2 linked regions of the Elephas maximus indicus genome follow. The protein of the gene in region 2 interacts with the protein of the main gene of each other region in a pairwise test. Links are inferred from orthologs where the notes say so. Each region holds a gene or a part of one and is shown on either strand. Other genes may lie near its edges.

Region 1 (7,896 bases), on a different chromosome or scaffold from region 2:
AAATAGTTATAAATTTTACAAGCATGCCATTGTGTATGACTATATAACAGCACAAAGATATGGGATTAAAAACAAATCAATTCAAATACCATTAGGTGCAAGGAACACATTAAATCAAACTTACACAACAAGCAACCAGACAGGAACTTATTCTCAACCTTCCAACAACTTGAGAATCAAGGATCTCATAACCTGATAGCCTAGGAAAAATACCTTAGATTCTGCAGGCCAACGGTTACTGCATCCTGCTGCATATAAGAATTATGTCAAAATCTTAACCGATTTGCTTGTTTTCCAAAAAACTTACAGTTGAGAACATAAATCAACTGGAAGAGGAAAAAAAAAAAGCTTTAAAAATTCAAGTGTCACATCTTGAATTTAGCATTTTGACAAGTAATCCCTTTAAACTGTAATCCTTCTGTAAGTTTCCAAACTATTATCCCCCTTTCCATGATTTCATTAAAAAAAAAAAAAAAAAAGGAACCTTATCCAACCTCTCCTTTTCAGAAAACAGAACCACAGCGAACAGGGCAGGTGACACACGCCTAGCAATTCGGGAACAAGACAGAGCTGGAAGCCAGATCTCCTCCTTACCTCCAGCAGAAAGACAAGACAACGTTGCTCTCTGCTTTCATTCCATTTATCGGTTCTATCTGCGCCCCGACGCCGTCCCCAGCAGGTGGGACTCAGCCGGAACCTCGAGAGAGTTTTCTCCGAGCGGACTGACGCTGCCCAGGGGCCAGCCCCACCCCTTCCCACCGTGCACGATCCCCAGGCCGACAGAAAGGCGCGCGGGGTGGGGGGGTGGGGGGAGGCACGGGCGCCTCCAAAAGGGACGTGTCACGAAACGCAGGAGCACGCTTCCCCCGCCGCCGCTCCCATTACCCCAACTGAGAGCCGCCTTCCAGCCCCAAGAGGGAGCCACTCCACTCCTAGGCTGGGGTCACACACCCCACCGTAGGGCGTTTTTGAAAAGGCCCTTGAGCGCGGGACCTAAGTTTCCAGCACCGACGCGGCGAGGAAGAAAGCCCTGCCTAAGGTACACAGCCCTGACGCCCATACTTAACCTCGCGCGACTCCACGCTGCACTGACCTAAGTGGACACTGTATGCAATCTGCACACTATTATCTACTTTCGGTGTAGAGAAACTAAACACACACACACATTTCTTAAAGATAGAAATTGTTTTAAGAGTTTAGGGCGCTTTCCAAGGCGCCACTGCACTCGCCGCGCAGGCAGGACTTAGATGCCTGAGCTGCAAACATTCAGCGCAGATGTGACTGCAAGTTGAGAGCAGCATGTTAAAAGAAAGTTAAGTAGTCTTTTTTAAAGTGATTTCTGTCGATTCTTGGTCTCCTTCTTCCCAGTCTTCCCCGCCCCACCCCCGCCACTTAGTGCGTTCCCAGTCCCCCCAGCCCAAAGTGCTTTGAAACCCCCATTAATAACAGTGTGTGATCAGACTATGGATTAGGAGGAAAGGACTTCGGTACTAGGGTGGGGCAAACCCACAGAGAAACCGCTCTGTAAAAACACACAAGATACCGAAATTTAAAAATAGCAACAGCAACAAAAAAAATCAGCCCATCAGAGGAAATGAAAAAAATAGCCTCTTTTGCCACCCATTTTCAGATAATGGAAAATGATCGCTACCACTTGATGACTTTCTTCCTGTGCTGGGTCAGCCCAAGCTTCCAAAAATAAAACCATGACCCAGGCCGACCACGGAGAACGGAAAAAAGAGAAAGCGCCACTTCCAAACCGCAGAGACACGGCGCCGGGCAGGGAGACGCTCCCACCAGCACAGGGCTCGCCCCCGTCCACACCAGGCAGAGGCGGGGGCCTCTCTCCACCCGCGCACCCTCGGCCCGTCGGAGCCCTGCCTAGGGACAGCGTCGCCTAGGACTTGCCTGCCCAGGAGAGAAACAGGTTACAAATCCCCGCGCCTGCAAAGACGACCTGGAAAACACAAAATGCTTTCCCTCTCCCGGCTCTCAGAGTCCAATTCGCTGCCCTCGCAGGGCCAGGAGTTGATTCCTGAGAACCTGATCGTCGTCCCAACCCACCCCCCACCCTCCCGAGCGCGGGTGCGCGGGGTCGCCGGGCTAGGGAGGACGCGGGGATACTGCGCGGGGTGTGCACGGCAGTCCCCGCTGAGGCGGGCCAAGACCGAGTCCGGGACGAGGCAGCTACCCCTGATCCCCGTGGGGAACCTGCGGGGTTACAGAAAGGGAGATCCGAGGTGAAATGAACCCCACTCGCAGTCCAGCTGCACCTACTCCATGTTGCCCGCGACACGCCGGCCACGGAGCCAGGAGGGGAAGAGCCAAACGCGCCTCACCGTGATCGCGGCTTTGCACCAACTCCTCTCCCTTGGATTCTCTTCTAACTGCGATGTGCAAATAAATCCAGCCTCGACGCAAACTTTTTCCCCTTCTTTCCAAACTCTGTTTCAGTCCAACTTCCGAGCAATCGGCGGATGAAACGTAAAGAAAACCGGGTGCCAAGTCGCTATCCGATGAACACTCCGGTGTTCGGGGATAGAGTCGACCCCCCTTCTACAAGCGCACGCGGAGTATTTCCTCTTTTTCTCAATGAACAGGAGGCCGAAGCGCCAACGGCGAGTCTCTTTCCCTGGCAAACGAGCGAATGAGACAAGAAAACGGCCTTACAGAGAACCTAAAGCCAGATCGCCAAGTCGTGCGGTCTCAGCTGTGTCGGAGCGGTGGCGGCGCGGGGGCGCGAGTCGGGCCGGACGGGCGCGGGGGCCTGGGCGCTGCGCGCTCCGCCGGCCCCTGTCCTCCGCTCGCGCTGCGGCGCGCAGCTCTCGGCGGTGCAGACTGGGCGTTGCGGAGGCGCGGCGGCGAGGCCGAGCCTAGGGCGGTGGGTGCGGAGGAGGAGGAGGAAAAGGAGGAGGAGGTGGGCCTGTGGCCCGGCCGGGGGGGGCTCGCCGTTGGCCTGCGCCCTCGCCTTTCCGGAGGAGGCAGGGAGCTCTGCGGCCGCCGCGGCAGCAGTAAATGGCGTCATGTGGATCCGAGGCGGAACAGAGCAGTTGTTGTCCCAGAGGATATATCGCATCCGGTCCCAGCTCATTGGCTCCGCGGGGCTACATTCACTCACACTCCAGCGCCCGCCAGCGCTCCGAGCCGCAGGAGGCATTCAAAAGGGCAACCGCGCCGCCCCGCGCGTCCTCTGGCCGGTCTTGCAGCCGGGGCGCCGTCACGCGGGGCGCTCGCGGGGCTGGGCTGGGCACGGCGGGGTCAGTTTATCTAGTTTCAAGGAAACACTGACCTTAAGGTTTTCCCAGAGGCCATGAAGACGAGCCATAAGCTCGGTCTGACTTATGGAACTTTCTCCCCGCCACTAGGAAAGGGGAGTGAACATTTACAACTCATCCCAGCTCTGCAATGTTCGCATTAAAAACAAGTTGCATGCAGGTTTTAAGACTTTATCCGGAACCGACTTCAAGTCCATCTCTCCCCTTTTCTGTCCCCCCTCCTGCGGGGAGGGGGAGCAGGGGGAGGAGAGGGGGAAAGGAAGGGAGCGGGAAGTGAGGTGGGAGGGCTATTGGTTTATTCTTTGTCTCCCGGATTAACCCGATTATACACCAGGCACCAGCACAAACCGCCTCCCCCACCTCGGAGCCGAGTACGGGAGGAACGGAATGCAGATTCGGGCTTCAAGTCCCTTACTCTCTTGCCGGGGTTTGCTTTTGATTGTTTAGATTGGTAGTTTTTCTGTTTAATAGGTTTAATCGGTTTTGGTTTTAGGAGGGTTAGCTATAGATGGAGGCGTTCTTAATGATTGAAGAGCATTTTTAATGATTTGTTGGGTGCAAGGAAATTCTAAAATTTAAGCCTTCTGGAAGTAGTTAATTCAGTAATACTCAGAGCAACATCGTGGGCTTCTGAAATGGGGAGGGTGCCACTTGCACTTCAGGTTTCCTTCTTCACTCAATCAGAAGGCATCCTTCATTTCTGTGTCTCCTTGTTACCTAGCACACTTTTCAAGAAGATCCTATTGTCCGTCTTGAAGGTGAATTGTGTTTTCCCACTTAAGAATAAATAGAAATACAAAAATGTAAGATGCATGCATATGTTCGTCTCTGCTGTTTATTTACTTAGAAACGTGCTTCACGTGGAAGCACAAGTAGAAAATTAAAACACCAATGATACTTTATTCTACCTAATGTCTTACAGAAATATTTTCCTTTACAGGAAAGTACCTGCTTGTAGGGGTCAACATTCCTAACAGCACCTGCGAATTTGTCCCCATGCGGGGTGGGAGTTCTTGAAGCTAGAAAAATGTGGCGCTGGATTCCCCCAGTCCAGCTCCGGCCCACATCCGTACGCAGCTACCTGGCACTCGCTGGCTTCTCCAGAGCTCTGGGTCTGGGATGCCCTCGCACGTTCCCTGTCTCGCTGCGCTCTAGCCCCGCTTTCGCCTTGTTTCTCCAGGACTCTCCCCCGCCGCCCCAGGTTTGGAACTAGAAGTGGCAGGGGAAGTAGCATGCGTTATTTCCGGACGCTGGCCCACGTTCCCAACCTTATGAGTGGAGAAAGGTGGACGAGGCTACGTCCGCTTCCACCGCGGCGTCCCCCGGGCTTCCACCGCGCGGCGGAGGGGCCTCCCTCGCCCCCGCTACCCGCTGAATGCGGGAGTCCACTGAGCCTCCGGGTGAACTGAGGCGCAGCTGCGTTACGGCCCGACAGACCACCAGGGGGCGCCCGGGGGGGCGCAGGGCTGCGCCTGCTTTCTCCACGAAGCACTGCACTCGACGCGAGCAGAAGGGGGTTGCTTTCCAAAATGTGCGTCAGGCCGGCTGATTCAAAATGGAAAAAAAGAAAAAGGTGTTTATAATTTAAAAGCCACAGAAGGTAGCTTTCCTCACCATCTCTTCGGATCGCAGAGCGATTGCGTTTTGAACGCGAGGTGAGGTACTTAGGAAGGACCCTTGCTTTTACTAAGGGTAAGGTGCTGGGGCCACAGCCAGGTTGTGCAAAGCTGGTGGGACTGTGCTGCTGGCGTCTAGCTAACAAGGTTAGGGCAGAGCAGGTGAAGGAAATGCGTTTTCTTCGACCCTTCAGACTCCTGCACGGTGGCCGTTTCTATGATACAGTTGTATCTATGCCTTTCTCCCAGAGCTGCAGGAACTTTGCGAAGACACGTGGTCAGAAATCAAAGCATAAAATGGAATTTAAGTTAGGAACTTAAGGCTAGTTAAAGAGCCCCTTTAAAACAAAAAACAAAAAAAACTGTTTTTAGTCACTCTGACTCATGGCGACCCCATGTGTTAAAGAGTAGAACTGCTGCCTAAGGTTTTTGAGGGTGTAATCTTTACGGAAGCAGATAGGCCTTTCTTCCAGGATACCTCTGAGTGGATTAAAACTGCCAATCCTGTTTAGTAGTTGAGTGCATTAGGTCACGCAGGGACCTTAGAGCACCTTATATTTTTATTAAGCCAGTGGAGAAGAATCTGTAATTCATGTTTGTCTTGCATGAACTTGAAGAAATACCATGTAAACTAGCTCCCCTCTCCTTCCTGCGCACCCTCCGGCTTGCTGGCTGGGAAAACATTCAGCCTGTAACTTATGCACAGAGTTAAAACAAGAATCTGTTGGATTCTTTCTCATTTACTTCTTAGTCTTTATTTTAATTAGTTCAATTATTATTTTTTCAGATAGTGAAGGGCGGAGAGCTATTTTTTGTGCTCTAAAGGTTACTTGTAGTTCTGGTGGTGTAGTGGGTAAGAGCTCGGCTGCTAAACAAAAGGTGGCAGCTGGAATCCACCAGCTGCTCCTTGGAAACCTTATGGGGCAGTTCTACTCTGTTCTGTAGGGTCACTATGAGTTCGAATTGACTGGACAGCAATGGGTAGGTAGTAAAGTTCACTTGGCGAGTTATAATCCAAAAGAAGAATACAATATGAGGTGTTTAGTGCAACCATGATAATGTGTCCCCAAATTGATTCCCTTATTGCGTTCCGAAATACATAACTTGGATTAACGTTGTGAGGTATTGGAGAATCATGATGGAATACTAGATAAAACTTCACAATGAAGCTCATTTTCAGGTGTGTTGTGGAAGGTTCTAGAGAGGCCGTCCTGATGCATGAACAGATGTTCTTATTTGCCTAATGTTGAAATTTACTGAAACCATGGAAACCTGTGCTGCACCAATACCTCCGAGTCATTGGGACTCACCAAGTAACGTGCCTTCCTACTTCTTGCCATTGAAGACTGTGTACCCTACATTTGGGATTTCATCTTTGGCTTCATTTTATTTTCTCTAATTCCTCATTTATTTGTATTTGCTTTTGTTTTATTTTATGACTATAATCTTCTTCTTTTTTAAATTTTTTTTTAAACCAGATCAGTGTAGAAAATGCATGTCAATTTTGCCATCTCCTGTCTTGGGTAGAATGTGTCTATGGGGCCGATGTAGACAGGATTCTTTGCTAGTATGTGTGTTGGGTGAGTTAAAGTCAGGTATTATCAAGGTTGCACTTGGCCACTGATCTAAACTTCTGATTTATGCCCTAAACATGGAGGCACTATGAGTCAGAATTGACTTGAAGGCAACTAGCAACAATAACAATAGAAGAATACAGTTTTAAACAAATCAACATCTCTAGTTCTAGCTTCTGAAATTGCTCAAGCCACTGATTTCAGCCTTAGAACTTGATGTTGTTGTTACTGCTATTTGCCTTGGGGGCAGCTTTGACTCATGGCAACCCCACGTACCATAGAACAAAACGCTCCTCGTGATCACTGGCATGCTTAAGTCCATGGTTGGTTTGCAACCTAGGGGGCTTATCTTCTAGTTTTATGTTGAACAGTATTCTGTTTTGATCCATAGAGTTTTCCTTGGCGAGTTTTCAGAAGTAGATTGCCAGGGCTTTCCTCCTAGTTTGCCTTCGTCTGGAAGCCCTGCTGAAACCTGTGCACCGTGGGTGATCCTGCTGGTATTTGAAATACCGGCTGCATAGCTTCCAGCATCACAGCAACACGAAAGCCACCATAGTATGACAGACTGATAGAAGGTGGTGATGGAACTTTATAACCAAAGGAAAATCTTACAGTAATATGATGCATTCTTGAGGAAAAAGAATTAGTAGCTATAGGTTGTTTGGTTATTTTGTTAGTTCCCTCACTAAGGTTATCTGCACACGCATTTCAAGATGCACAAAACACAGCAGTGTGTGTTGCTCCCAGGGGTAACAATTTGAGGCTTTCAACTATTAGATCTCATCACATTCCAGTTGTAATAATAAAATGAATTTAAGCACAAACACTTTAGTAACCTCCCTGAGTTAAAGAGCTTTGTAGTGATGGACCTTCTGATTTGGCAGCCGGGATGCTTGTCGTTTCAGTTTTTGAGCTGCTTTGGCTCCCTAAATTCTGTTGATACGGCCTTTGGGGGTGAGGGGTGGGGGAGATTCAGAATGGCTGCAATAAAATATGCAAAGGAATTCAAAACAGATCACTTAACTATTGCATTCTTAACTAGTTCTTTTGGAGGACTGGAAACAATTCATCTCCTGATCTAGACTTCTTGGGAGATGTTCTTCATCCCTAACTAAACTGGGAGAAGGATCTGGCGTTTTCGTAGAGCAAGTGGGCGGGGGGGGGGAGGTTTCTGTCATTTTGAGCCCATGTTAGAGTTGACCTTGGACTAAATACTTCCGTTGGTCTGGGTGTTTTTTTTTGCAGAGATCTTATCTTCAACCTGAATCCATCTCTTGGTTTCCACTGGTTACTTAATGCTAGATTCATGCACATTCTTACCACAATTCATGCAAGGTCAGATGTTCTGTAATAAGGCTGAAACAGAACAACTGGCCAACATATTTCTCACATTATATTTCCAATATACGTCTTCCTTGACCTTGAAGGTCA
Region 2 (6,915 bases):
CCTCACATTCACATTTGGCATGTCAAAGCCCTAAATCCAGCCACTTTATTGGCCTATCATGGACTCATCTGAGCTGATGCATGACTGCCGAAATCTTACTGAATAGTTATTAACTCCCAGGCTTGATTTACAAGAATGTATTTTAGAGAATCCTGATCTTATTTTGTTTGTAGATCAGTCATATCTTAAACCATCCCCAAACTCCTCCAAATTTCAGGCTGGCTATCCAATAGTCTCCCCTACTGACGTAATAGAAAAGGAACCTCTCCCTAAAGCCACCTCAACCCAGCAAGCAGAGCTATATGCTCTGACCCAAGCTTGTGTGTTAGCTGAAGGCCTAGTAGCCAATGTTACTTTGGACTGTCAATATGAGATTAAAGTTGTACACAATATTGGACTGTTATAGGAACAAAGAGGACTTTTAACATCGTCTGGGACTGAAATTAAAAATAGCCAGCTCATTAAAGAACCATTAGATGTATTATTATTACCTAAAAGCCTACCTATTATTAAAACACAAGCCCACCAAAAAGAGCTTACTTCTGTGGAAATGAAAGGAAACCATTTCACAGATCATATGGCAAAAAGACAGCTACCTAAATTTGCGCAAATAAAGTTATACTGACAGAAATAATTGGACCACAACTTAATGAAATTTCTCTATTTTCAAAGGATGATTTAATAACTGAACAAGAAAATGCAGAACTTGAGAAAAAGCTTTATAGACAAAGGAAAGATGCACAGTAGACCCAATATCTGTGTAATGAGTTGAACCAAATAAGAGAATTGTCCTTCCCTCATCCTTACAGTATCCAATGCTTCATCTATTACATGAAGCTAGTCATTATGCTATAGATAAAATGATACAAATTATGCAAAATTATTAAAATTATTAGTGGGGTAAATTTCAGAAAGCCACTACAGATATTCACAAGGCTTGCCCCACAAGTCCTTTATTCACTCCTGGAAAACACTGAAATACTCCTTTGGTCATTTTCCACAACCCTGAGGGCCCATGTTAGTATGGCAAATGGATTTCATCCAGTTGCCCCCTTCTCAGGGTTATCAATTTGTTTTAATAATGATTTGCATGCTCTCTCACTGAGTAGCTCTTCCTTGCAGAGAAGCAACTGCCACTTTTGTAGCAAAAAAGGTCTTGGAGAATATAATTCCATGTTGGGGTGTGTCATGGATTGAATTGTGTCCCCCCAAAATATGCATCTACTTGGTCAGGCCATGATTCCCAGTAAAGTGTGGTTGTCCTCCATTTCATGATTGTAATTTTGTTAAAGAGGATTAGGGTGGAATGGTAACATCCTTACTAAGGTCACACCCCTGATTCAATGTAAAGGGACTTTCCCTGGTATGTGCCCTGTACCACCTTTTGCCTCACATGAGATAAAAGGAAAGCAAAAGCAGGCAGAGTGGGGACCTCATACCACCAAGAAAGCAGTGCCAGGAGCAGAGTGCATCCTTTGGACCGGGATTCCTGTGCTGGACTGACCCAGTGGCTGCAACAGTGGGCTCAAACGCAGCAATGATTGTGAGGATGGAGCGGGATGAGGCAGCGTTTCGTTCTGTTGTACATGGGGTTGCTGTGAGTCAGAACGTACTCGAAGGCACCTAACAAAAATGATGCATGTTGACCAAGACACTAATTGAGACACAAATTCTTCCAATAATGTATTTTGAAGGACATTCTCAGTGAATGTTTAGTTCTAAGTGTCCATAGATCATACCTATTTGGGGTCAAATTGGTTTTTTTAATTATTTCAAGACAGTGAGCTCCACCAGAGCAGGGGCTTACTTAAGCAGTCTATGCTTAGCACAGTCCCAGCAAGTACTAGGCTTGAAATAAATGGACTATACATGTTATTTCAAGAAACACTAATATTTAACCCGAACTTCATTTTAAAAATGAGGATATAATCATCTCTTCTGCCTTCCTTCACAGGTTTTGAAGATCTCGTAATATAATTCATACGCAAGTTCTTTGGAATATGAAAGGCAGATAACAGTACTAAAGTGGACAGACGGTTATATTTTTTATTGAGGCATGATTTTCATACAGTAAATTTCACCCTTTTCAGTGTACAGTCCTGTGAGTTTTGACAAACGTATACACCACTATCACAATCAAGATATAGAACTGTTCCGTAATTCCCCTCCCAATTCCTTCATGCCCCTTTGTGGTCAACCACTCTTCCCACTTCTGACTCCTGGCAGCCATTCATCTGTTTTCTGACCCTGTTTTTGGCTTTTCCAGAATGTCATATAAATGAAATCTGGCTTCTTCCACTTAGCATAGTGCATTCGAGATTCATCCACGTTTCTGTGCATATCAGGAGTTTGTTTCTTTATTGCTGAGTGGTATTTTATCTGAGTAGTATTTTATTGTATGGCTATACCACATTTTGTTTACTGACTCACATTTTAAGACTAGGAGGAGAATAATCAACATAAATCAAAATCCCCACTGTTCACTTTTCTGCCCCTTCTGTTCTGACACCAGCTGCGCATGCAGCACTCCTTCCTCTGGCTCTAACCATCCAGAGCTAGGTCAGAGCTCACAGATTAAAGGGCACAGTCCTCCAGACTAAGCTGGCCCAAGATCACAGATTCCAGCCACAATCTTGGAAGTCCCTAGGGCCCCCTTCACTTCTGACCTGCTGGTTACAAATTCAGGGTTTTCCCACCACCCCTTGTAGATGCCAGCTGCAAGCTTTGGGGTCCCCAGCCCCCTCACTTCTGATCCACTGGCTCCCACTATTCCCTTGGGTATAACACTTCTATGGAAAAACTCATAGAACTCACAAAAAGCACTATACATATGATCATAGTTTTATTACAGGAAAAAAGCACACAAATGAAGAGATGCATAGGCTAGGTCTAGGAGGGGTGCCAACACCAAGCTTTTGTGTCCCAAAAAGGGATGCGCTACCCTCCCAAGTGTATCGATGTCTTTCATCGACCAGGAAGCCCATGGAGTTTCCATGTCCAGAGCTTTTACTGGGAGTTGTTATGCAGGGTTTATCTTAGGAATTAATAGAGGCACACTCAGGTGCGTCATGCATAAACTCATTTAGTCATGGCAAGACATGTAAATAAGACCTCAGAACATTCATTCAGAACCACAGAATCAGAATTAACAATTACAATGTTAGCTCAGTGATTACAGTCCAAATTTTTAGACTTTAGGACATCTCAGGAGGAAGGCTTACTCACTGTTCAAATTCGGCTTTGAAATATAGTAGAATAATTTACAAAAACAGTTTCTTTCTCTTAAATAAATTTTCTGTAGACTAATACTATTATAAGGCAATACATATCAAGAACATATTATTTAGCAAGCAGAAACCACCCAGGGGTTAGAGAACAGAATAGTGCACAAGTCAAGGGCCTTGTTTCAGAATCCTACTGGAAGGGATGAAAGAAACTAAGGAAGGGGATGTTGTTGGGTGTCATCAGTCGATTTTCAACTCACAGTGGCCCCATGTGACAGTAGGACTACCCCATACAGTTTTCTAGGTTGTAATCTTTACAGGGGCAGATCACCAGGTCCTTCTCCCTTGGAGCCGCTGGGTGGGTTCAAACCGTCAAACTTTGGGTTAGCAGGAGAGCTATTAACCACTACATTACCAGGGCTCCTTGCGGGAAAGGGTAGGGGTAAACAAATAGGAGTTAGTCAAAATTTAGCAGTGAGCAAGAGGCTGCAGTAAAATTGTACCTTTTTTTTTTTTCCTGCAAATTCTTTGGTTAAGGGCCAGAGAATGGCTGAGTTTAGAAGGGGCACAGCAAGAAAAGATGGGGGAGGAGAGGATTTGTTGGAGTCAAGCAGATGTTCAACTTGATATAAAAACAAACTTTTCCACAAACAGCTGCTCACTCAGAAAAGGTGGACTTGGGTGGCCCATCACTGGCTGTGATTAAGCCTAAGTGGCTTATCTTGTTAGGAAGGTAAGTAAACAGTATCCCTGTACCCTTCACTCTGCAAATCTTTATTAAAAGCTTACTTAGATTATTAAAATCTGGGGCCGGGTGAGAGGGACGGGAAGAAAGCAGCACAAGGTCTGGCGCAGAAAGGCTGTGAAGAGGAATTGAATCTGATCTGCCCTACTGAGTTGTCAAAGCAGTGCTTCTCACACTTTAATGTGCACACATATCCCCTGGGAATCTTGTTAAAATGCAGATTCTGATTCTCAGGTCTAGGAGGGGGCCTTAGACGACGCCAATGCTGCTGGTGTGTAGAACACAGGTTGAGTAGCAAGTTTCTAGAAGGGAATGAGAAATGCATATAATTACAATACAAACACTTCTTCTTGTCCTAAGACTAATATTTTCTTTATTTCTCAAGGTTTATCTCATACTTCTTCAAATATTCCCTAGAGCCCCAATCGGCTCACTGCTCCTTCCTCGTCGATCCTACAGCACCCAGCTCAAACCTCGCGCAATTACCACTACCTCCTTCTGCTGGAATTGGAAAGGAAGCCGTTTTCTAATTCCCTATAGGAGCCCACCTCTTCGGGATCGCCTCTCACCAGGACGCAGCTCAGAAAACGTTCTGACGAACCTGGGCTGGGTGAGCGGGACGGGAGGAAAGCAGCACTGCTCCTCCAGGTACCAAACACTGGAAGTCAGGGAAGTGGCCGCCGACTATCGTTCATGGGCCGTCCTCTCCGTAGGGTAGGCCCAGCGACCGGTCTCACCAGCAATCCCGGTTGCAGCACCTCGTCCTGTGCGGCGGCCCCAGCCCGAAGCGCCGGTGATCGCAGGGCTGGGAGTCGGGCGCCCCCGCCTGGCGCTGGAGGCCGCGCGCGTCCGCCCACCATTGAGGCGGCGGCGACGGCTAGAGAGGCGGCCGGCCCCGGGGCGCCGCGGGGGCGCGGCCTCAGGGAACGTGTGTGGGGCGTGCCCAGTGCTACTGGCCTTGTAGCCATTTTAGGAGGAAATCCGGATCGCTACCCCGAGGCGCGGCTTCAATTTCAATAACTTTATTGGGGGCCTTATCCCGCAGAACAGCCATTGCACCAGCGGTCCCGGGAGGAGGGAGCGCATCGCGGGAGGTGATTGGGGTGGGGGATGTTTGCAATGAGGGCAGTGAGCGCGGGGATGCGGGGCAGTTCCCGAAAGCGGATTTCCTGAGGAGGGGGGCGGTGAGGGGACCTAGGGATTTAGGGGCGCTCTTTTTTTTTTTTTTCCTAGAAGCTAGAGAGGGACGGGATCCCTGGGCACGGCTTCCCTGGGGCGGGGATTCCCTGCTCGGGTCCCAGGGCGCAGGGGCGGGACCGGCGTCGCTCCTGACGCAGCAGCTGGGGTGTCCCCTCGCCCCATGTCGTTCCCCGCGGCAGGTGGCTCCCGACTCGAGCCGCAAACATGGGAAACACCACCAGCGACCGGGTGTCCGGGGAGCGCCACGGCACCAAGGCTGCGCGTGCCGAGGGTGCCGGCAGCCATGCCTCGGGCAAGGAGCACAAGATCATGGTCGGGAGCACCGATGACCCCAGCGTCTTCAGCCTGCAGGACTCCAAGGTTGGTGGCAATGCTTCAGTGGGCTTGGTTCGCGGGCTCCTCCTCCCTTTCCTGGTTCGTTCTCATCACACTGACTTGGGTTACGGTGTTTTGAATCAAACGGGTTTTTCAGGGTCACAGGGTGTTGATGGTAATTTCTCTTGCGGTGCTGCCTCAAAATAGGATGAAGAAACAGAGCTCTTATTTTTACGGCTTTCTGATTAATCTTTTAGTCACATTTTTAGGATGAGGGATAATAAGCCCCCACAGAATCCTTGGTTCTAAAAGGCACGGTTGCTCACTTCTAGACCATTGCTAAATTATGAACTGTATGTAAGCCCTAACGGAGAACTTCAGAGGGTAGGTTGCCAGAATTGCTGACCATAGGTGACAGTTTATCAGTTTGTCCTGAAATAGGTAAATATATTTTCTTTTTCTTGAAAACTTCTATGTGTTTGTATCATTTTTGCCATAGGAGCTTAGCACACCTGTTCCTCTTCCCCCACTGGTGTGGCTGTTAGCAGGAACCCATTGCTTATTTGAATAATCGAGGAGCCCAGGTGGCACAATGGTTAAGAGCTCTACTGCTCACCAAAAGACTGGCGCTTTGAATCTACCCAGCCGCTCTGGGGCGATCTCCTCCCGTAAAAATTAGGGTCCGGAAAACCGTATGGGGCAGTTCTGCTCTGTCACGTGGGGTCACTCAAAGTCGACTCCACTGAATCTAACAACAAGAACAATCCTAATTTGGGGGACCAATAAAAGTCATCATTTGGTCGACTAATAAATTTCATCCTGTACTTCACAGTTGCTATTGGCTGAGGCTGCGCTTGCTTAATACCCAGCTGCTTCTCATGGGAAAGCAAATGATTCCTGGACTGCAGGATTTCTCCACTTCCCAGTAGTACCTCAGAATGTTGCCATGGCTAAAAAAAACGACAACCCACAGTTGCCCTGAGACCTCCTTCTCAATTCCAAGGCAGCAACTTGTGTTCATCCTACAGAAAGGACAGATGGGCATGACAGCATTGTGATTACTATGCTAATGTTTCCAATCACTTTAGAGCTTTCCGCATTAAATACGTTCATCCAGATAGGCTGACTGGGCTGAAATAGAAAAATGGAGGGATTGAAGAGAATGGGATGTGTTTCTTATTACCTCATCATTTCCCACAAAACTGGAGTTTTAGACAGTAAATAGAGTATTATCTGCCACATAGGTAGCATGAAATTTGGAGTCTATAGTTTGTGTATTTCCCTGGAGCCCAATTGAGAAAATAATCACAGAGGGAGAAGTCCAAAAAAAAAAAAACCAAACCCACTGCTGTAGTGTCTGTTCTGACTTATAGTGACCCTATAGGATGGAGTAGAACTGCCCCAGGGAGAAGTGAGGGTAATTGAGCATTT

The links.
Region 1: the proteins of PRKAB2 (region 2) and SPRY2 interact in binary tests that used the Homo sapiens proteins (3 or more experiments, as listed by UniProt). The link is inferred for Elephas maximus indicus from reciprocal best matches to the Homo sapiens genes PRKAB2 and SPRY2.

The regions. Positions count from the first base shown.
Region 1 is NC_064832.1:73,732,621-73,740,516, forward strand, and holds the start of SPRY2 (protein sprouty homolog 2), read right to left. Parts: upstream 3,008-7,896; 5' UTR 2,340-3,007; intron 1-2,339.
Region 2 is NC_064821.1:159,056,583-159,063,497, forward strand, and holds the start of PRKAB2 (5'-AMP-activated protein kinase subunit beta-2), read left to right. Parts: upstream 1-3,900; 5' UTR 3,901-3,957; intron 3,958-4,354; 5' UTR 4,355-4,617; intron 4,618-4,921; exon of another isoform or gene 4,922-5,063; intron 5,064-5,348; 5' UTR 5,349-5,373; coding exon 5,374-5,529; intron 5,530-6,915. UniProt on the Homo sapiens protein: Non-catalytic subunit of AMP-activated protein kinase (AMPK), an energy sensor protein kinase that plays a key role in regulating cellular energy metabolism.